Linked DNA regions of Lytechinus pictus. The protein of the gene in region 3 purifies or fractionates together with the protein of the main gene of each other region. This does not show direct contact. Links are inferred from orthologs where the notes say so. Each region holds a gene or a part of one and is shown on either strand. Other genes may lie near its edges.

Evidence for each region.
Region 1: the proteins of protein saal1-like (region 3) and transmembrane protein 43-like purify together in Homo sapiens (affinity purification with mass spectrometry; 3 studies listed by BioGRID and IntAct, with this or other methods). This does not show direct contact. The link is inferred for Lytechinus pictus from reciprocal best matches to the Homo sapiens genes SAAL1 and TMEM43.
Region 2: the proteins of protein saal1-like (region 3) and long-chain fatty acid transport protein 2-like purify together in Homo sapiens (co-immunoprecipitation; 3 studies listed by BioGRID and IntAct, with this or other methods). This does not show direct contact. The link is inferred for Lytechinus pictus from reciprocal best matches to the Homo sapiens genes SAAL1 and SLC27A2.

Annotation. Positions count from the first base shown.
Region 1 is NC_087247.1:40,343,475-40,350,669, forward strand, and holds the start of transmembrane protein 43-like, read left to right. Parts: upstream 1-4,113; 5' UTR 4,114-5,603; coding exon 5,604-5,771; intron 5,772-7,195. UniProt on the Homo sapiens protein: May have an important role in maintaining nuclear envelope structure by organizing protein complexes at the inner nuclear membrane. Required for retaining emerin at the inner nuclear membrane.
Region 2 is NC_087249.1:15,476,924-15,484,304, reverse strand, and holds the start of long-chain fatty acid transport protein 2-like, read right to left. Parts: upstream 3,018-7,381; 5' UTR 2,537-3,017; coding exon 2,056-2,536; intron 883-2,055; coding exon 667-882; intron 1-666. UniProt on the Homo sapiens protein: Mediates the import of long-chain fatty acids (LCFA) into the cell by facilitating their transport across cell membranes, playing an important role in hepatic fatty acid uptake.
Region 3 is NC_087253.1:7,260,614-7,267,933, forward strand, and holds the start of protein saal1-like, read left to right. Parts: upstream 1-4,235; 5' UTR 4,236-4,244; coding exon 4,245-4,451; intron 4,452-6,014; coding exon 6,015-6,137; intron 6,138-7,058; coding exon 7,059-7,142; intron 7,143-7,320. UniProt on the Homo sapiens protein: Plays a role in promoting the proliferation of synovial fibroblasts in response to pro-inflammatory stimuli.

The DNA.
Region 1 (7,195 bases), on a different chromosome or scaffold from region 3:
GCTGATTTGTCGCCAATCTTCCTATCTCGGAAGAATGGTCCTAGGACGTTCCTACATATCGCTCATCTCGTCATGCAACGGGCCCCAGCTGAACAACCAACATAACAGAGACCGAAGTTTTTGGTCTAGTACCGGACATGCATCACTCAAGGGTTCATTACATGCCGCCGCGCACAGAAAAATAAAGCCATAGAAGTCGTGTGTTGTGGACACCAGAAGTGGGATCGCAGCATGCGGGACCCACTAACTTTTAGTTAGAAATCCACTGCCAAACGCGGTTCATGGTGCGAGGTTAGTATACTAATACTTAGTCTTGAGCCTGAGCTGAGGACTCCATGATGATGTTTTTTTTTAAATATTTTGACATACGGTATATTTCTTCATCATGGAGTCTTAAATCCCCGTCCATATATCTATAAGAGACACATGTACACAAAGATGGATTTCAGAGGGTGAAATCGGTTTGTATTGTCAAATTTTATTTATCTATGAACCTTCAGGTGCCTAATGCGTATAAAGGGAAAAAAATTATTTCACTATAAATGGTAAAAGTGAGACGTTTCTTACCAGACCCGATCTCCCGTAGATCCCTCGATCCGTTTGTCAACAATAGACCTGACCCTTGAACAGCTTCATGATGACGTACTTCCGACTAGCGATGCCGTTTTGAAGAACAATAGATACAAATTATTATTTCACAAATACTAGAATTTAATAATTTATAAATAATTTGTAGTTTATACTAATTATTTATAACCACGTATTGACAAAGAGCTCTTCAGAAGAGTTTGTTTGCAAAAAGGGTTAGGTCCACTCCAAGAATTTTTTTTTTTTTTTCTTCCAATATTGCAATATTCTTATGTGAAATTAAATTTTCATGATACCCTACCATGACTCATGAGAACATAAAATTTGGTATAAAAGAAATCTACCTGTCTTCATATCTTTTAAAATATTCTTTTCCAAAAAAAAATCAGTGTGGACCTAACCCCTTTTGCAACTAAACTGAAATGGACCTAACCCCTTTTGGAAAAAGGTGATTTTTCTTTGCCATTTTATTTCACTTTTTAATGGGAATTTCATATTTTCTTTGGTATCATCTTATAGAGCTACTAAAAATCTATACATTGAGACAAAAAAAAAAATCAAATTTGATGAAAAATGGACCTAACCTCTTTTGCAAGTGAGCTCTTCAATTATAGATCTAGATCTAGTAGTAGATCTATAATTTATATATAGTTTTTCATTAACAATTAATATATTTTCTGACTGAAATATTGGCCTGATTTGCCGAATTTCAAATTCGTCTGCTCTTTCGGTCGAATGTTGAGGTGTGGACTGGGTGATCTTTGATGTAGCGGCTAGTTCCTAAGGTACCGTGCACGAGGTTTACTGTGATAAGAGCCGTCAACAGCGCATAGATAAACCTGATGAGCATCACGATATGAACGAGCATAATATTGGAAAGTGCCATGGAACATGCAGTTAAAAAGAAAAAAACCTAAAAATTAGTTAGCAAACACAAATTTATTAACAACATCTGCTCAGATTCGATATAAAAAATGCAAACTTCAACTTAGAATTTACTCATGATATGATATATAAAGAGAAAACAATCACACCAATTCTTTCTTACATCATTCAAATCAAGAATATCTGTACCCGTTTGGCGCGCGTGCGGAATCATGATGTAATTTGTCACACACGAAAATAGTTGTTCTTCATGCAGGGGTATGCAGCAAGTGCGATGCATGCAAAAAAAACGGTTGGTAAATATAAAATAATTTTATCATATTCATAATTTTCATAATATTTGTAATAGCAAGTATAAATTTTCCTTGATTGTATTTCCTCTAGTTGTCATTTTTGTCTCGCCTGCATAGCAGAGCGAGACTATAGGCGCCGCTTTTCCGACGGCGGCGGCGTCAACATCAAATCTTAACCTAAGGTTAAGTTTTTGAAATGACATCATAACTTAGAATGTATATGGACCTAGTTCATGAAACTTGGACATATGCTTAATCAAGTATTACTAAACATCCTGCCTGAGTTTCAGGTCACATGACTAAGGTCAAAGGTCATTTAGGGTCAATGAACTTTGACCATGTTGGGAGAATTATTTTCAAAATCTTAACCGAAGGTTAAGTTTTTGAAATGACATCATAACTTAGAAAGTATATAGACCTAGTTCATGAAACTTGGGCATAAGGTTAATCAAGTATTAGTGAACATCCTGCTTGAGTTTCAGGTCACGTGACCAAGGTCAAAGGTCATTTAGGGTCAATGAACTTTGGTCAAGTTTGGGGTATTTGTTGAATTACTATCATAACTTTGAAAATTTATGGATCTAGTTCATGAAACTTAGACATAAGGTTAATCAAGTATTAGTGAACATCCTGCCTGAGTTTCAGGTCACATTACTAAGGTCAAAGGTCATTTAGGGTCAATGAACTTTGGCCAAGTTGGGGGTATTTGTTGAATTACCATCATAACTTTGAAAATTTATGGATCTAGTTCATGAAACTTGGACATTAGGTTAATCAAGTACCACTGAATATCATGTGCGAGTTTCAGCGGCGTGGCAGCATGCGAGACCCACTAGTCATGCTAGTTAGAAATCCACTGCCAAACGCTAACGCTTAAATGCGGTTCTGTGTGCGAGGTTAGTATAAATACTAATCGCACTAGTGTGAGCTGAGTGACTAGTCTATAGATCTAGACCTTGGGCCTGTTGCATAAAACTTTTGCCATTAAAAAACTCTGGCAAACAAAATTATGCCATTAAAAATTACACATTAAAAAACTGGCGAATAATTTGCCATAGTTTTTTATGGCAAAAGGTTTATGCAATTGGCCCCTTATTGCAAATAGCATTTGTTGAGTGAGAGCGTATGTCACTGCAAAGGATCACGGGAATGAAAAGGGGGCAAACGCGAAAATGGCTTTTGTTTCGGGAAGCCATACAAGTTTAAACGCCATATGTTTTGTGTAGTGTCACTCGAAATCTGGGCTTTTTTAAAGTCTAATTTCTAGGTATTGAATTAATTTTGGATGCTTAATTGTACTCAAGGTTCGAACTCGGGCATTGGCACAGGAAAGTGCAAGGCACAACACCGGCAAAACTTCCAGGGAATATTTTATTTTTTAGACATTAGATTAGACATTCCTAGTGAAATCATTTTTTGCTATGACACTTACCAAACGATATGAAGCCACACTTTCCCTCTTGTTTGTCTTTCTATAAATATAATACTATAATTTTTGATGCTGAAGAAGGTTGTAGCTCACATCAGGGCCTGTTGCATAAAACTTTTTACCTGAGAAAACTCAGGTTGTTTTTACCAGAGTTTTTGCCCTTCGTTAAAGTCAATGGCAGAAATCAGACTAACCTTAGTTTTCTCAGGTAAAAAGTTTTATGCAACAGGCCCCAGGCGTCCATCTCGTATCCGGATTTTTCTCGTTGAAAGCTGCGAAAGGGCGCGTGGTATTATTTAATATGCTTGTTTGTTTACATCAGAAGCTTGTATTGCTGGTTGCGTTCTAGGCGCTCAGCATTTTTTTTTCCTATTGCCCTTTCATCAGCTTGTCAAAAGATGGCTTACATCACCTATAAGTTGTTACATGAGGTGTAACCTGTTGAGTTTTTGTACAATTTCCTATTGTACGCCAACGACTTGAATCGAGACTGTTATTCACATTTCGATTGTTTGCGTGATTTTGACCGCAGTATGAAAGGATCTTCGGAGCAGCTTGGCCGAGATTAATAATTTTATTTTTAAAACAATTTAGACATATATATAATCAAGAAAATATACAGATTGAAAGTGATTGCCGTCAGCTACAGCTTAGCACAAGGAGGAGCCAGCAGATATAGCTGCGCTGACGGCAATCGAGCTATCGAAGAAGAACCTGGCTGGTCCTGATCTGTTGTCATCAAAATTCGCGATTTTCCAGCTTATTTTTATACGCTTGTCTAGACGGGACGTAATATGGTATCACGCTCGGTGTCCGTCCGTCTGTTAACTTTTCCTTGTACACGCGATAACTTCAGTTTGACTTGACCTAGGCTCATAAAATTTGGTGTATGATACTAGCATGGATCCCAGGATTTCTATTGATTTTGGGGTCAAAAGGTCAAAGGTCAAGGTCACAGTGACATATTTTCATCTTACCCTTCTATCTTTATCCACCAAACACGGAGTTAGTTCCAGTCTTACTAAACCTGTTTCACTAAATGTCCCTTGATATTGATACTATCGGTAGAAAGAGCAGAAGAGACGTAGCCTTAGTCACAAAATAGCATAATTTTTAAAAAGCAAAAATATAAAACTGCAATTATTGTGATGAATTTGGATATACATTCAATCAAAATAATAGAAGAGGAAAAATATGTACCATGCATACTTGAACCATGAAGACTGGAGCATGCTATTGCTGAGAAAATGAAATTACGGATAATTCATTTCATAACAAAAAAATCACATGTGAGATGGGTACCCCTGGGATAGTAAATTTTGATAATTTACGGAAGTAAACCACAATGGTTTTCTTTGTGAAATAATGATAATTATATGTTTATTTATTGTTCCAAACATCATCAAAATATAGTCTAACATGAAATTTTTAATTCTTTAGATACTGAAACACACAATTTGACCAATTCTTTGCATAAATTAGAGATAGGATTTATCAAAATGTTAATAAGGGTCTGAAAACAACGAATACGAGTCCAGTTATGGATGACCTGACGTAGAATCTTTATCGATTCAATTATTTTACTATTTCAAAATGATCATGGTTTTGTTGCATTTTATCAACCATTTTTATAGCTTCTGTGCATTACAATTATTATTGAATGAGCTATCACACCCGTTTTGCAATGTAATTTCAACTTCTATGATTGATTACGTAAGATTATAATTTCCAAATTTCGAGGCACTTTTGAATGTCACAGTCTACCCACGTGAAAGAAGTTATGACAGGTTCGCAGGTGTCATAAATATTTAATCAGGTTGTTGTCCCCGATGTTGGCAAAGAGGGCTTCGTGAAACGGTTAGCAGACAAGTAGCTCACTATCTCCGATTTAGTCAAGAAGTTAAACTTATGACGGTGTTGAGAAATGGGCCCCTGGTAGCCTCTTGATTTTGAAGTCGAAAGTTCAAAGGTCAAGATCGCAGTGACATGTTTTCATCTTACCCTTCTGAAGTCCTTGTTAACGCGATAACTTTAGCTTAACTTAACTTAGGCTCTTATAATTTGGTGTGTATGATACGAGCATAGATCCTAAGAATTCTATTGATTTTGAGGTCAGAAGGTCAAAGGTGAAGTTACCACCTTCCACTTTTCTTGCTTGACCAATAACTCCATTTACCACGTTACAGGCGGGCGTATTATATGCTTGCCTTAGCGACACTCTTGTTGTGTGTGCTATAGAGAAGTGACAAACTAAATGACAATTTGATAAAATCCACCAGAATACAGATTCTGTCATATCTCTGAGAAAAATATTGAGAAAAGACCATGTTCAGAAAACCACCTCAGGTTCCCTAGTTATATGAAGAATTTGTTTATTTTTCAATCTGCAGTATCCAGATGATCCAGGTATGCATAATGTAGGTGGATTGCCAGGGGTTAGTGCCTCCAGACTACCATCTACCTATAGTAAGAGAGGAGACTCCACGTTTGTCGAACGTGTAAGCAACAGCTTCACAGGGTCCTTGCTAGGGCTTGGTCTTGTAGCTATTGGACTTTTCAGCATCACAGTCAATGAGGTGAATATAATTTTGATAACAGTATATATCTTATCTATATGTAGTTGTAGTATAAATATGATTTTGTCATGCACTTTTTGCTCTTTCTCTTTCTCCCTTCTCTCAAAGAGGTCCACCCTCTTTCTTGTTCCTCCTCACTCTCAACTACATGTATGCCTGATTACATCATGTTAAAACAATGGAATCTGTTCAGGTGAGTAGCCAGGAGGGGGGGGGGGGGCAGTTGCCCCCCCAAAAAAAAAGAAAAAAAGGGGAAAAGGGAGAAAAAGAAATTGTGAAGGAAGAAAAGGGAAGAAGGGTATAGCTTTATTGTTTTTTCTTTCTTTTTTGTCAAAAGAATAAAAACCTCTTTCTTATACAAAATTTTTCTTCCGCGCGGGAAAAAAATATAAAAATTGCCTTTCCCCTTTGTTTCCCACACCTTTTTTTTTCTACTCCGTTTTTCTCCTTCCCGGCCATGGTAATCGCATTCTTGCCAGAAATTATAAAGTATACATGGGTGTAAAGAGAATGAGAAGTATTTTTTTTATTGCAATGACACAAAATTTCGGCTCTTCTGTTCAGAGCGAGTTAATTATTATACCGTCACTTGATCCTGAAGTCCCCAAATGCTATTTTTTCCGCTTTTCAGCAAGCAATTTTTTGGCAAAGTATCTGCTCAAAGGGGGAGCATTGAATTCGTGCCGTGCTTTATGCAAACGTTGGTACGATGAAACTTTATTCTAAATTTATATCGCTGCACATCCATCTCCTGTCCTGTTTTGCGCCATTGATTTGTAATTTTGAATATCACAGAAGTTTCTTAATCATACAAAAGGAAGCGCTTAATATTATGAGCGAAATTACACAAATTTTTTTCCTAAAAAATAACTCACAGAAGTTTCCGCGCTTCGCGTGCATGAGAAAAGAAAAGTCCCTCTTGAAGCTTGCATTGTTGCATTTTTCTTCGTATTATTTATAGAAATATCAAAATTAGAGCAGGTTAAAGTTTCAGAGAAATTTCTAAAATTCAGAGCTTCAACGCCATTTGCGGGAAGGAATATTTCCTCCCTGCATATACCCGCATCTACTCTGTTTAGCGAGTTAAAGAAATCTATTGTGGCTAAAGCTTTTACAATCAAATCTGAAGTGACTAAGGTAGGCATTTTATACCACTTCTGTTCTCAATTTCTTTTTATAAAACGTCTTAGCTTTCGCGCTTTGCGCGGTAAGAGGAATTATTTTGAATTCCTCAATCTTTTCCCATTTTGGGGGCACTTATCTTTTCTTTTGAAAACAGGTTTTGTTTTTAATCACAGCAAGTCACATGAAATTGAGTTGATAAGGGTATTAGAGACGCAAGAGACATCTTCTTTTGATTCAAATTTGATGAGATATCAAAAACTTCCCCCTGCAGCCTCCCCCCTAGGGAGCGCGCTTCGCAT
Region 2 (7,381 bases), on a different chromosome or scaffold from region 3:
CCAAACCATACCTTACAATGGCCTTCATGACAAGCTCACAAGCCACAGTGGAGGTTTGTTGACACTTGAAAAACCTTGCTCTTATTATTACCAAATAGTTTTTCTGAACTGGAAGGAAGCCAACTTCCTCAATTACTCAATAATGATGATCTCATGATTGTCCCGCACCAAACGCCAGATAGTTTTCAGGCCTTGACCTTGAACCCTGGAACAATACTATCGGAAGCATTCAATGTTATTGATGGAAGTGGAATTACAACCTAAGGATAACATAATGTAGGATAAAATAATAATAGATTACATTCCATAAGGTCATTCCCCAACACCTTGGTTTTGTAGTTCAAGCTGAATATGAACTTTTTTAATAGCTTCATTTTCAAGTTTCATATCAACCACGTTTAGTAACAAATGTTGCATATTCTGGCCTAAAATACCCAATGCTTTGTCAGAGATAAGCGCTCATTTGACTCACAAAGGTTGACTTCATATGAAGAATCTACAGTAGACTTTGCAGGTTGGAAAAGATACATGCAGTAATTGCAAGTTTTTGCAACGTACATGTATGTACTTTTGGGAAAGAAATACATTCCCCCCTTCAGAATTTTTATTTATTTGGGGTAGAGGGAATTGAACCAAGAAAGTATGAAAAACAGTCTGTAGTCTAACCTGTAGTACCAGAGGTAAAGATAAGAGATGCTATTGTGCTATGGGTGATGGGAGCTAGATGATCGGCTGGGAGTGGATTTCCTGTCACGAGACCGGTATCCATGGCAACCATTCCATCAGGAACCTTTGTACCATTGGAGATGCTACCCAAAACCCATACTTTGATTCCAAGTTGCTGCAGTTCAGGAAGGAGCTCCTTGGCAATGTCGATGAAAGCTACATGGAAAAACAGTAAGAAATAAGAATAGTGCTCAGGTGAGTGTACGACAGAGGTACGCATAGAGTTTCTTGCACCGCAATATCAATCAGGGAAGTGGGAGGTTATGACTTCTCCGTATTAATCAATCAGTCTTTTAAAGCTTGGGAACAGGACCTGTGTTTTCAAACTTTTTAAGAGTTTAAACAAACCAAAATCCCGTCTTTGCAAACTCACTATGTATTTAACAGGACATTCACAAGTCATGTGTTGGATTAAAATTTAAAATGTATCATTACATGTAAAACTGAATGACAATAGAATAATAAGATCTGAGAAAATTAAAAGGTCAGACCAAAATATCAGTCTGTGCAAAGTACTGAAGAGCGACCTTGGGTTGATAGACCTTTCTTTTTTTCTTTTTTTATTTAGATTTAACCAAAATTAGAAGAAAAAAAAATTAATTAATCATTAATGTCAAAGCATAATTTATTTCTCTCATTGAATTTTAATATCAATTATGATATCAAATGTGCTTAATAATTTTTGGAGCCTACATGTAACTTCTGGAGATTATTTGTTAATTTTACATGTATTTTCGTACCATGGATGCAAAACAAATGAACATTGAGGGAAAGTAGTGTTCATTTTCAACTATACTTTAGTGGGAATAAGCATATATTTTTGAAGCGCAGAGACAAATATCATCGGAGGCAAGTTATGTGCTTGTTAAAGTTGTAGTAAAACATGGTTAAAAACATTTGTTGGCAAACAGTTGGTTTCCTATCTAGGGAAGTGGAAATTTGATTCAATTCTATCATTTCAATCTTCATTTCATCAAAGTAACATCGAAATACGAGTTGATAAGAAATTAATTGCATGGCTTTCCACAAAGGTAAAATGTATAAGAAACCTGTGAGACTGGATCTTCAATTTGATCTATCACTGGAACTTTTCTCTCTTTTTTAATTCTTACATGTAAAAGTAAAACCAGCCCAGAAGTAAATTGTACGTGTATGAATGATTTATAGGCCTACAATACATTTAAGAACCATTCTTAATTTGCAATACTCTACCAATTAATTGATCGAGAGAAATTATTTGAGCTTATTACTAGACCCATAACAGGAAAAAAAAAATGAATATTCAATTCATCCACAATACACATTATTTTAATTTCCTTTTTCATGTACCTCTTGACATCACTAAGTATCTCGCATTGCTAATTCTCATGCAATGCATCAAGCTCTCTCCTTTCAGGTTGTAATTGAGAAGGCTTGTTCCAACTCCTAGCTTGGCAAAACCTAGCCACATCCATATAAAAGACGGTTCATTCTTCATGAGGACTGCCACTGTTTCATCTTGGCTCAAATCAGAGTTCATCTTTACCCATCGGGCAATGCGGTTGGACTCTGACTCTGCATCTCTGTATGTGTATTTTTCATCTTGATAGAGCAAAAAGGGACGGTCTGGATAATGCGACACTCCATCCGTTAAGACAGTAATGACAGTTTTATTTTTCCTTTCTGCCCCTTTGATGCCAATTAGAGCTTTGGCTAAGCTGGATACATCTTTAAAATCCTGAATGAAATTCGCAATGGAGTTCCTCTTCACTCCGGCCACGATGAGGCTCACAACAAGGGCAGAAAATCCAAAAACTTCCCAGTCTCCCATCTTGGAAATTGGACATAAACGAGATCGAGAGCCTATGTAACTGCCGGTAGAGTGAACAAATTGAGAGAATGATAAATCAGTTATTTTGGCGGCCAGAAAGGCCGAATTAGGAGATTTCCACAACGGCACAGCCACAGGGTTAATTTATAATTAAGCCCGGAGAGACAGGCCTTCGGCCGGTTCACTGCCTCTGTACTGTGTTGAGTCCGCTGCAGATGCGGCACACATGATCACAACATCACTGACTGTCATAATAATACGGCATGTACCATACCGTATGTTTTGCAAAAATAAAGTCTAAAACGAAATATTAATAAATCTTAAACCTGCTCTTATGGTGAAGCTCGCAACTGACTTTCCAGAGAGTGTCTCCAATCATCGAATCAAATGTTCAATTAAGTGAAAATTTGACAGAAAATGTTACCAATCGATGCTAGTCATGCATGGCTCGCAATGTGCACACGAAAAATTGTTGCGAAACAAAAATGAGGGCGGAGTCTAATTTTGGCCAAGCCTCGGCGCGGCCTCGATCGTGTGCGTGAATGAAATTACGGTACGCTTTTGTAAACAATCCGCTGCGGCTGCGGCAATCGAGAGGTATTTTGGAGTTTGGTCGCAAAAAAAGGGGTTAGGTCCTGACCACTTTGGACCTTTCCGAGAACAATCATGTTTTTATTCTCACTTATTGCAATATTCTTATGAGAAACTAGATTGTCATGATTTACACTATTCACCGGCGTAAATCCACTCTGAGGAGTGCAGTGGGGGCCGGGGGGGGGGGGATGATTGACTGTTTTGACGATTTTTTTTTTTCTGTCGATCTCACACTTATAGGTATAAGCACACACTCTCACTGACCCCCACAGACCCTCTTACACACATTTTAATATTTATTTTGCGAGCGAGCGAATCAAGTGAGCCAAAAATAACAAATTTTTTTCTAGTTTTTAATCGCATTTTCTAACAGAAATTCTAAAATATGAGCGAGCAAAGCGAGAAAGCCAAAAATAACAACTTTTTGGGTTTTCAATCGCATTTTCAAATAGAAATTCTAAAATATGATGGTTGTTTATGACAGATATTCAAAGATTTAACGGATCAATTAAAATATATTTTCTTTCTTAAAAAGTGGGGGAATATTTGTACACGCCATCCCCGGCCCCTCTCAAAAAAGTGGGGGGATATATCCCCCCCCCCCGGGATTTACGCCAATGACCCTAAGTAGGCCTATTATGAACATAAAATTGGGTGTAAAAGAAATCTACCTGTCTTTTTCTATATATTTTTCAAAAATTATCATTGTGGACCTAGCCCGTTTTGCAAGCAAACTGAAGTGAATCCAATCTCTTTGAATAAAAGAAATTTTTTGCCACTTTTATTCACGTTATTTCATATTCTTTGATATCATCAGAGGCTTTTCAGAGCGACTAAAAATCTATTGAAAACAACGAAATTTATGAAAATTTGATCTAACCCATTTTGACATGTTTGACAAAATTAATGAACTGTTCAGAAGAGTTTGGTTGCAAAAGGGGTTAGGTCCTCTCCAAGAAAATCTTTTTTTTTAATTCTCCCATATTGCAATATTCTTATGCGAAGCTAAATTTTCATGATACCCTACCATGTGAACATTACATTGGTTATAAAAGAAATCTACCTGTCTTCATATTTTTCAAATACTATGTTCTAAAAAAAATATGTGGACCTAACCTCTTTTGCAACCAAACTGAAATGGACCTAACCCCTTATGAAAAAAAGAGATTTTTTTTGCCATTTTGTTCACTTTTTAATGGAAAATTCAACTTTTCTTTAATATTTTCTTATAGAGCAATTTAAAGTCTAGTGAGACAAAAAAAAAATCAAATTTGATGAAAAAATGACCTACCCCTTTTGCAACTGTGCCCATCATGTTTGGATTTTTTTACAGCATTTTATGTCTAAACTGAACAGACCTGGGTTATGTTTATCATTTTTTTTTTTCAATGACAAAGGCAATTAGGTTAGGCCTTATCTGTATAACACGCTATTAAGTTGATGATATTTGTTCAAAATCTATAGTTAAGCAGTATAATGTAATATTTATTTTGTCTCACTGGTTTGCAGATGTCAGAGGAGTAGGCTTACAGGGACCCTGTCATTCCCCCAGAAAGTGTTTGATTATTATATACGACACTAAGTAATCTTTATTTCCTTTTGGGGGCGGGGCGAGGATCAAGCCAGTTATGAGACATAGTGGTTTACCTAACATTATATCATACTCTATCACAAAATTACATTTTTCATTAAAAAAAGGTCCCAGTTTTAGCTAGTTCATTCGCTTATGACCTTTCCCCCTCCAATTTACACACAGTTTTGACCCGTAGGCCTACATAGCTGGCCTGCCCCTATATTAGCTCACACGCACTGAAATGAGCGCATCAAGTTAATTGCCTTTTTATCATGGTTTCCAGTACATAATCGGGTATTCCATTGTTGTTGTTTTTATTAATGTGTTTTTGTTGTTGTTCATTGTGTTTGCAGTACAGAAATATGAGAGCAACTGTGGACTTGTGAAAGAAGTTATAATTCGTGTTGTAAACGAGATAATGCAGCTGTCGTAGATGGCGTGACCTATACGATTTTACAATGTTGGAGATTAATTTCGTTCTCAGATGAGAAGATCAAAAGGAAGAAGAAGAAAACAAGGATAATGAATGTGTGCGAGTTTTTGTTTAAAAAGAAATCATATAAATATATATATATATATACCACATCTTACTGTGATTTTTGCATCCCCCCCCCCCCTCTGCCACTTTCATCATCCCTCCGTTTGACGGATTTGCACCACAGAAAAAAATATTGATTTGAATATAGAGAAAAATCAAACAACAACAACTTACACTGAAAATTTCATCAAAATCGGATGCAAAATAAGAAAGTTGTGGCATTCAGGGACCTGGGAAGCGGGGGTGCTGGGCGTGTATTATTTTCCATAGGCAGCACCCCCACGAAATCAGGTTCCCTTTGTATTTTTTTATATATGTTATAATGGACATAATTATCACATCCGACAATCGCAAATCATTTACATAGTCTTTCACATTCGTATATAATGCGACTCAATCAAGCTCCGATACAGACGTGGTCGCGCGCGATACGTGGTGATAACCACACTACTCGATATAGGCGAGCGGCGAGAGGCCAAAATTTGGGACTTTAATCCCCCCGACTGGATCAAAGCAAAAACATGCATCATTTTAAAGGAAATTTTCTGAATTTTTCAGAACTGAGAATTAAAAGTGTCGCAAAGTGTAGCTTCACCATGGAAACCAGCCTTGAATAGGCCATGCCCATTTTTGTGATAAATGCAAAGCAGTAACTTATTATTTATATTTGTTAATCAATTACACTAATTTATATATAAATATAGACTTTACAAGGATAAAATCACTACAGATTGAATGATATGATAACGCCTAGCAACCAAATATATATTTCATACATATTTGATTTCAAAACTGTTGCATAGCAACAGTATTTTCCCTAGCAACCATATTCACTTTTCAATATTCCTCTTTTTTACCAGATTAATTAATTTTATATAATTTTTTTAAGTTTTTAATTTGTAAAAACTAATAAAGAAGGTGAATTTTGATGAAAAATGAATAAAAGAGGAAGACTAGGATGTATAATGCATTTATGATCATGAAAAATTACATTATTGCCATGTTTGATTAACCCCTGCATGTGACGGATATCACTATTTTTGTGTGTATTATAGGACTATACGCATCAGTATGGTCTATTATCATTGAATGGGTTTTATGATATTGTTATAAATCATTCTTATACCCTGCTGTGTCATGTTATCTGTTCAAATCTAAATAATTGAGTATTAATAGATTTTTCTGTTACCTATGGAAACCATTATGTTGCCTAGCAACAGCATTTTCCCTAGCAACCATATTTTTTTCAGCGATATTTCAAGCCTGTACCTCCCCAAAATTCCCTTTTTTGGTCCTCAAAATGCATCTTATACTATTCTAAGCATTTATCGTGGTGATGGCAATTAATTTCAGCCATCTGGCCAGGCAGTCGGCATATTGAGAGATGGCATGGCTGTATGCACAAAAATTTTCCTTGGGGTGGCAAGACGACTAAAAAAATCTCCATGAAACAAAGCGAGGGAGCGAAGCGACTGAGTTTGACAAGGGGCGCTTTTTCATAGTATATTGAAGGATATCATGTACACCTTTGGTGAATTTTGTGAAAATTTTCAGTTTAACAATTGTAATTTTTTGCTGCGTACGGAAATGGGAGAGGAAATTGGTGTTTTTAACAATATCATTTAGTTTTTTATTTGGAACATTTTATCATATAACATTTTAGGAAGGTTAATACATATGGGCAATTCCAGCGTAACGGACATGACGTTCAGACAAATTTTTGTAATTCAAAGGTTTATACATTAGAATTAGCAGTCTTTTGATAATTGTTACTAAGCTTATCAGACACATTTAAGTATCAGTTACATACACATAAAATTTCAAATCGTTTCGTTGAACAGTCGCGGAGAAATTGCACTCTTTGTTAGCGTAACGGACATGACACGAAATGGACAAAGCATTTTTACCTCCTATATTGCTTATCAAAATTCCTGTGAATTCTTAGATTGCATGCACCTGACGTTGGTGTTAATTTAACCGTAAGATCATGCTCTATCCATAAAATGGTGTTTAACAACAGTTTTGCAGTGCATTCTGTATTCATAGCTCAAAATGTAGCGTAACGGACATGACACACGAAGCGTAACGGACATGACAGTTTCGTCCACTTTTTGTAAGCGAATATAATTATTTTATTACA
Region 3 (7,320 bases):
GTACGGTAGTAGTATCCACGTATCCCAGTATCCACGTATCCTCGTATCCATGTGTATCCACGTATCTTAGTATCCATGTATCTCAAAAACGTAATTTCTAAAAAAGTTAACAAGTACCGGTACGTCGTATCCGTTGTTTTCTCGTTTTAAAATCTAGAGATTTTTGTAATCGATTCATGACATTGGTTTCTAAAGGTAAGCCAAAAATTAGACATACCCCTATACTCAATTAATGATGCTATGTGCTTCCCTAATAGAGCCTGCATTCTTTAAAAAAAGTTAGGCCTAGATCTCATGTAAACCGTGCGGAACGGGTGCTGAAGCGGAGAATAGTTCGCAAAGTCAGTACATTGGTGACTATCGACTCGAGGAAAACGGCCGATGAAAGCACCATGCATTTCGATCTAGTTCATCAGTAGACAGGAATAACCGTCGTTTCTGGGGATTTATTCAACAATTTCTGACATTTTACTGTAATCCCCATTTACCGACGGTAGGGTGTACGTGTGGGCTCGCATGTGTTCTCATTCCCTCCCTTTTGTCAATTCACAGTCCAAAGTTTGATGTAATTTTACACATCGAATTTACAATCTAAGGATGTATAAACAACAAACTTTTAAAACTTGATGTTTTAACATTTAAATACTTTAAACGATATAGATGAAAAAGGCATGAAAAATATACTTTACCGATGTTTAATTGGGTTGAACACGATAAAAATGGTCAAAATGGCAGCCAAACTATAAAATATTTACAAACGAACGTCAACAATCACGAATGTGATATCGATATTGCTTTCGATATTATACGATCTGCTCCATATGCGAACGAAACCGAAGATAAACGATACTAGTTATACAAGTACTAGTACTAGTTGTAATCGCGATATATCGATTCGAGACATTAAGTTAATACGATAATGACGTCATTCAAGATGGCAACTTGCAAGAAAAACCGTCAGGTCAGGTGAAAATGTCTTAGATGACAGATTTCTCAATCATCCAGAGGATTTTTTTCAATAACTCCGGCCCAAGGTATGCAATTACTTAAGTTATTTATATTTTCCTGATAATGGAAACCATGAAACTTTCAATTTTGCTTAAAAAACAGTTTTAAATCGCGATCTATAAAACGCTAGTTCACTAGTCTATACGTTGGCTGTAGGTACGGGGCCCCATCCCCTTCAGTCTATGTATGGTGAGTGGAGCCAACGTAGTTCAGCGGAACAACCAAAATACAGAGACTGAAGCTTTTGGTCTAGTTCATCAGTTACTACCCATGCAGCTATATTGGAGGAGCATTTAAAAGATTGAGCTTTTTTGTTTTGTTTTGTTTTGCCAATAATCATATGCCAAGCTTCATGGGGGATTTTCAAACTCACGACAAAAAAATTACAAGAGAGAGAGAGAAAAAAAATTAGTTGAGGAAGTATTGAGAAAGAAGAAAACAGAAAAAAAAAAGAAAACGTAATATGTAAAGGTTGGGCTGCTTTTGATTACTTTTAATCACATTATATAGCCAAACACTGTTTATTTTGCAATTACATCTTTATATGGTCATGACTAACCAAACATGTACAGCCTTCAGATAAGCTGGACCCGCCCCTGTTGGAGCTGTGATTTTCCTCATTTCTTTCTCTGTCATCCTACTTGCATACTAGTAGGCATATTTTTATCACATATTTTTAGTAAAAGCCCTGATTTTAAATTGTGAGACACACCTACTCGATTTTAAATCCTAGTAGATATCCTATAAAAAAAAGAAGAGAGAAAAAAAGACGTAGAAAAGAAAAAGAAAAAATAAAAAGGAAAAAGAACTAAATATTTGAATTTTACTTTATTCAATTACTTTTTTTAAGAAAACAAACGTTAATAATATAATATATATGATGGCGAAAATATGATGTTGGTGACTGGTTGCCAAATAAAAATAAGAATCCCCTCCATCACACGCAACTAATCGCGCGTTTTGAGAACGCATGCTGTGATTGCGGTCATGCGTAGACAGACATGCAATGCATGTATGCACTAATAAGTTAGTGTATGCCCATAGAGATGTATACTAATTACGCTATCTCTATGTATATGCCGTAGACCTGACTGCATTTGTTTATACATAGACCAATTTAAAGTGATTTTCTGATCAAATTTTCAATCTGATTATGAAAAAGGCCAGAAATGAAAACTCACGGCCAAGATTTCTGTTTTACGGCCAGAATACGGCCAAAGAAAATTTCTTTGGCCGTGAAATTTTTTTTTTTCACGGCCAAGCTACTTTTTTTACGGCCAGATTTCGGGAATCTGGCCGGAAAAAAGGCCAGTTGGCAACCCTCATGCACATACGATGTTTTGAAATTGGCAGCGAACAATACGTGTGAGGAACTCGATGCAGGACGGTTTGATCTGCGACCCTCTGCCTCACGCATGCAATGTTTTGAAATCAGTAGCGAATAAGTGTGACTGTGAGGAACTTGATGCTTTCTTATTCTACATCCGTTGTTATTGTCAGTGTTATGCTACTCATTGCAAGTTTGATTTTCCTCTATTTATCCAATCAACAATTTTCTGGGGTAGTCTTGAGATGGTTCGTTCAAGTTGGTCCATATCCCGGGGGGGGGGGGGGGGGGGCACTTCCATTGACGTGTGGTCTGGATACCATGCGCGACCATGGGATCTCGAAAAGTGCCCTAAACATGTATTTTCCATAACATTTGGCATGTGAAACCCTACCCTTAACAACAACTTTTGTAAACAAAACGATACTATTGCCTATTTATTGGCAAGTATTCCCTGAATTGAACCCTAAACAAGTACAGCGATATTTCAATTGTTATGTTACGGACGTCGGTCGTCGGTTTTACCTTTACTTACTACTATGGGTTAAAGGGGAATCCAGCCTTGGCCATTAAATGTTGTGTTGGGAAGGAGAAAATTAAATTAAACAGAATGGTGAAAGTTTGAAAGAAATCGGACAAGTAATAAGAAAGTTATAGCTGCTTTAAAATTGAGATCACCAATACTATGTAGGTTTCAAATTGGCAACTGGGTAAGTAAATGATGACAAGGGACAAGGACAACTTTCCCATAGGCCATGTACTTTATTATCAGGGATTTGTGGTTTTCTCCTAAGTACCCATTCCCCTGGGGCAGTAATCTAAATATAACCCAGGTAGTATATTGTTTTATGTCCTCATGAAAGAAAAATATAATTTTGAAATAAAACTTTTGGGAAAAATGACATTTTAGCCATAATATGTATTGGAGTACATGGAAGAGTAGTCCTTGCCTTACATCACTATGACATCCCATATGCGGCCAATTTGAAGTCTCCATGGGTATAGTGTTTACCAATATTTACAACTTTTGAAAATTCATAACTTTCTTGTTGTTTGTCCAATATTGTTCAAACTTTCACCGATCAACTTGTCTGATTTTTCTTTTCTTTATAAAATCAAGTTTTTATTTGGGTTGGATTTCCCTTTAAATACAGCCCCACCTCCTACACCTCGCGCAAATTGTACTCTAAACATGTAGTGTTGACTCTGGACTAAAGTACATCCTTTATGAAACATTTTAGTCTTAATTTTTTATACCCTCGCAAATTTGACCCTAAACACGTAGCTTTCGTAGCGAAAAAAGATACCCTTTTTCATTATTTTAGCGTTTTTGACACTGTTGTTACGTTACGTACATAACATGCCCTATCTTGAAAAAGACATCCTCTTTACGTGTTTTTTTTGTCACGCATGGTATCCACTCTTCAATCTACATGTAAGTGCCCCCCCCCCCCCGGTCCATATCACTCGTCCAAGAACGAGGTTATATAGGGTAATTATTGTCAAATCTGTAAAAAATGAAATTTTGTATTTCAAGCATATATAACAAAAGAAATAGTGAGGGACATTATCGCATGTCTCATAATTTCCATGTCACTGAGTTGTGCATATTGATCAGTACTGTTTTTCGAAAAAAATATGCGGAACTTTTAAATGTCATAACTCATTTTACATCCAATTTTGATGAATCTTTAGCGTAATGCTAATTTGATTTGTCTTTATTTATTCAAATCTTCTGGGGTGAGCTAGACCTTTAAATTTAGATCCTAAGTTTTAGCAAATAATTACATGTAGATCTACAGCCCAAAATTAATTATAACGCAATTAAAGATTTTCAGAGATGGAGAACACCATTTTTGGAAAACAGGAAATCAATGTTTTTTATTTTTTTTATTTTAAGATTGCATTCATGGAATCCAAGGATTCATCATCATCAATCCCCGGGGATTCCCTTTTGCAACCTTTGACCTCAGAAGATGCACCAATCAGGAACCCTTCTCCTCCACCGGAGGACATCCTAACGGGAGAAGATAAGACCTTACTGGAGGCCGACACCATTCAAAACACCACGTTTAGCAAGCATTGGGTGTTTTCAATCCTTATGAAATTACTGCAGGTATACTTGAGACCCATCATTCAAAACACTTTTCAATTCTTATGAAATTACTTCTGGGCCGTGTCTTACAGTTACCAATGATCCAATCAATCGTAACTCTATGGAAATCCATCAGTGTCATAATTTTTTTTCTACAGGATATTTGCACAATGTCCTTTGTCCTATGGAAATCCATCAGTGTCATAACCTTTTGTACAGGTCTACAGGATATTTGCACAATGTCCTTTGTAAACAAAGAGAAGCATAGTGAATTCAAGAAAACAATGAATGCATGAATATGCATCTTAGTTAGAAAATATTTTGAACAAACATGCGTAACAGATGTTGACCTTGCTCGCCGTCCATAGTTGCGATTGTTGGGCCCCGTCTTACAAAGAGTTACAATTTATCCAATCAATCGTAACTCTATTGAAATCCATCAGTGTCATAATTTTTTCTACAGGAAATGTGCAAAATGTCCTTTGTAAACAAAGGAGAACACACCGAACTGTCACAAAATCAATGAATTTATGGATATACATTCGTATCTAAAATAAATTTTGAGTAAACATGCATTGTATATGTTGACTTTGCTGGCCGCTTTCCATAGTCGCAATTGATCGGATCAAACGTAACTTTTTGTAAGATGGGGGCCCTGGTATACTTGAGACCTACCATTCAGAACAATTTTTTATTCTTATGAAATTACTTCAGTATACTTGAAACCCACCATTCGAAACACTTAAATTCTTATGAAATGACTTCAGGTATACATGTACTTGAGACCCACCATTCAAAACACCACGTTTAGCAAGCTTTGGCCTTTGGTTTTTTTTAATCCTTACAAAATTACTTTCAGGTGGCCATTTCATAAAGCTGTTTGTAAGTTAATTATGACTTTAAGAGTGACTGGTGATCCTTTCTTACGTGCTAACCCATCGCCAATGAACATTTTGGCGTATACTTTTTACCACAAGAAAGGATCACCAGTCGTTCTTAAAGTCGCTCTTAACTTTAATACGAACAGCTTTATGAAACGCCCACCTTGTATATTCCAGACCCAGCATTCAACACACCATACTTATTTAGCAAGCATTGGGTGTTTTTTATCCTTATGAAGTTACTACACTTGAATCCCACAGTGGCACCGTCCATGTTAAGCAAGTTTTGGGTGTTTTCAATCCTCCTTGGAGTACTTCAGGTATACTTGAGACCTGTTGAGGCTGTTCGGATTCTATTGTGCTCAGTCCTGTTACTTTGTGTGGTACAGCTTGAGTTTAGATGAATCGTGTAATGAACTCAATCTGTATTCATTATTTTCTCAGTGAATCAGATTTTTCTTACCTAGCAGAAAATTTAGACTCTCTTTGGAATATATTTTACCTTGTTTTTTTTCAGTAAAGTTGTGATTGGGCCCATTTATTAGTGCTCGTGTTACCAAAGCAAAATTATTGTTGATATGCCACTTGTTACTAATATGAAACAAGTTTTGATGGTTTTGATTATTCTCTACTGTGGCTCAGTCTCTTTTATTTCACCATTTTTCTTGTTGATTCTTTTATCCTTGTTTTTAAATTCCTGCAGCAAGTTGAGAAAGAGCAGCATTCACAGACAGAAGCTGATGCTGCCGAATTGCATGATGGGATTGATATTGACGAAGAGCTGGAGAATGAACTGTGTCGTTTGTGGGATATGACTGCGAATGTGGTATGTGACAAAGCTTTGCACACACCACATGGTGTGTCACCCGAAAGTAGATTGTATTTGCTTCTGATATGAGAATACAAACCTGTACAAATCTTAAGCCAAAATTTCTTAATTAAAGATAAATGTCAGTTGTAACGATTTCAAAATGAGTTCGTACAGAATCCAATGAAATGACCACCAAAGTGTCTGTTTGTATATTAATAAATTAAAATTTAAAATAAAAAATATGCCGAAGGATTCTGGAAGAAATTGTGTAATTGCTGAGAAATTAGCAAATAAGCACGGGATTCGGGTCAAGCGTCGGGCCGACATTCAAAGCAATAATAATACACTGTCCCACGTGCGCTTATCTGTGTTGGTGATCTTCAGTGTGAACATTTTTCAGCGTAGATTTCAAGATTTCACAAAGTTCAGTTTATGTAACTGTACCAGGTCTAGATCCTCGATGATATAATGACAATTAAGCCTGGTTTTACAGACTTTCTCGTGAAATCAGTGTTTACTGCAACTACTTTCATTTATCTTTAATATCAGTGGTTGTATGAATACCAAAATAAGAATTCCAGGGTTATTTGGAGCCTCCCCTCAGGAAAAAAAGTGAATTTAATTCCAAGTCATGATATCAATCTTGCCATGGGTTGCAATTTGAATCTGGTTTGGGTTTTATTCCCAGACGGATAAAAAAAAGCTTGCAGTAAAGCAGAATTTGGAGTTCAGTATTCCTAGCATCAAATGTGATCATTGTTCCATTTTCAATTTATCATAAACAATGCAAATGTGTCAGATTTTATAGTTTGCAGCAGACTGGAGACTTGAGTGTAGGTTTTGACATTAGGGATGTAGGATATACCAATGATAATGATTTTTTTTTTGAAAGGGTAAATTATACTTTTTAAGTCTTCTCTTTGTCTTTTCCTTCAGGAAGTGGCCAAATTCTTACAAGAGTGGAAGTCTCCAGACATTTTCCTTAGCGTCATTTCTAAGACAAACGCTCCAAGAATAACAGTAAGCTATCAAAGTAACTTGTACGATTATTTGTACTATAGAGCAGCAGGCAAAATTTTGATTATTTTTTTTTCTTGGGGCTATTTTCCACAACTTATTGCCTGCAACATTGGATAAGCTTTGATATTGGAATGAATGGGAATTTCCATAACTCTCTTCTTATTTTAGTTTACATTGC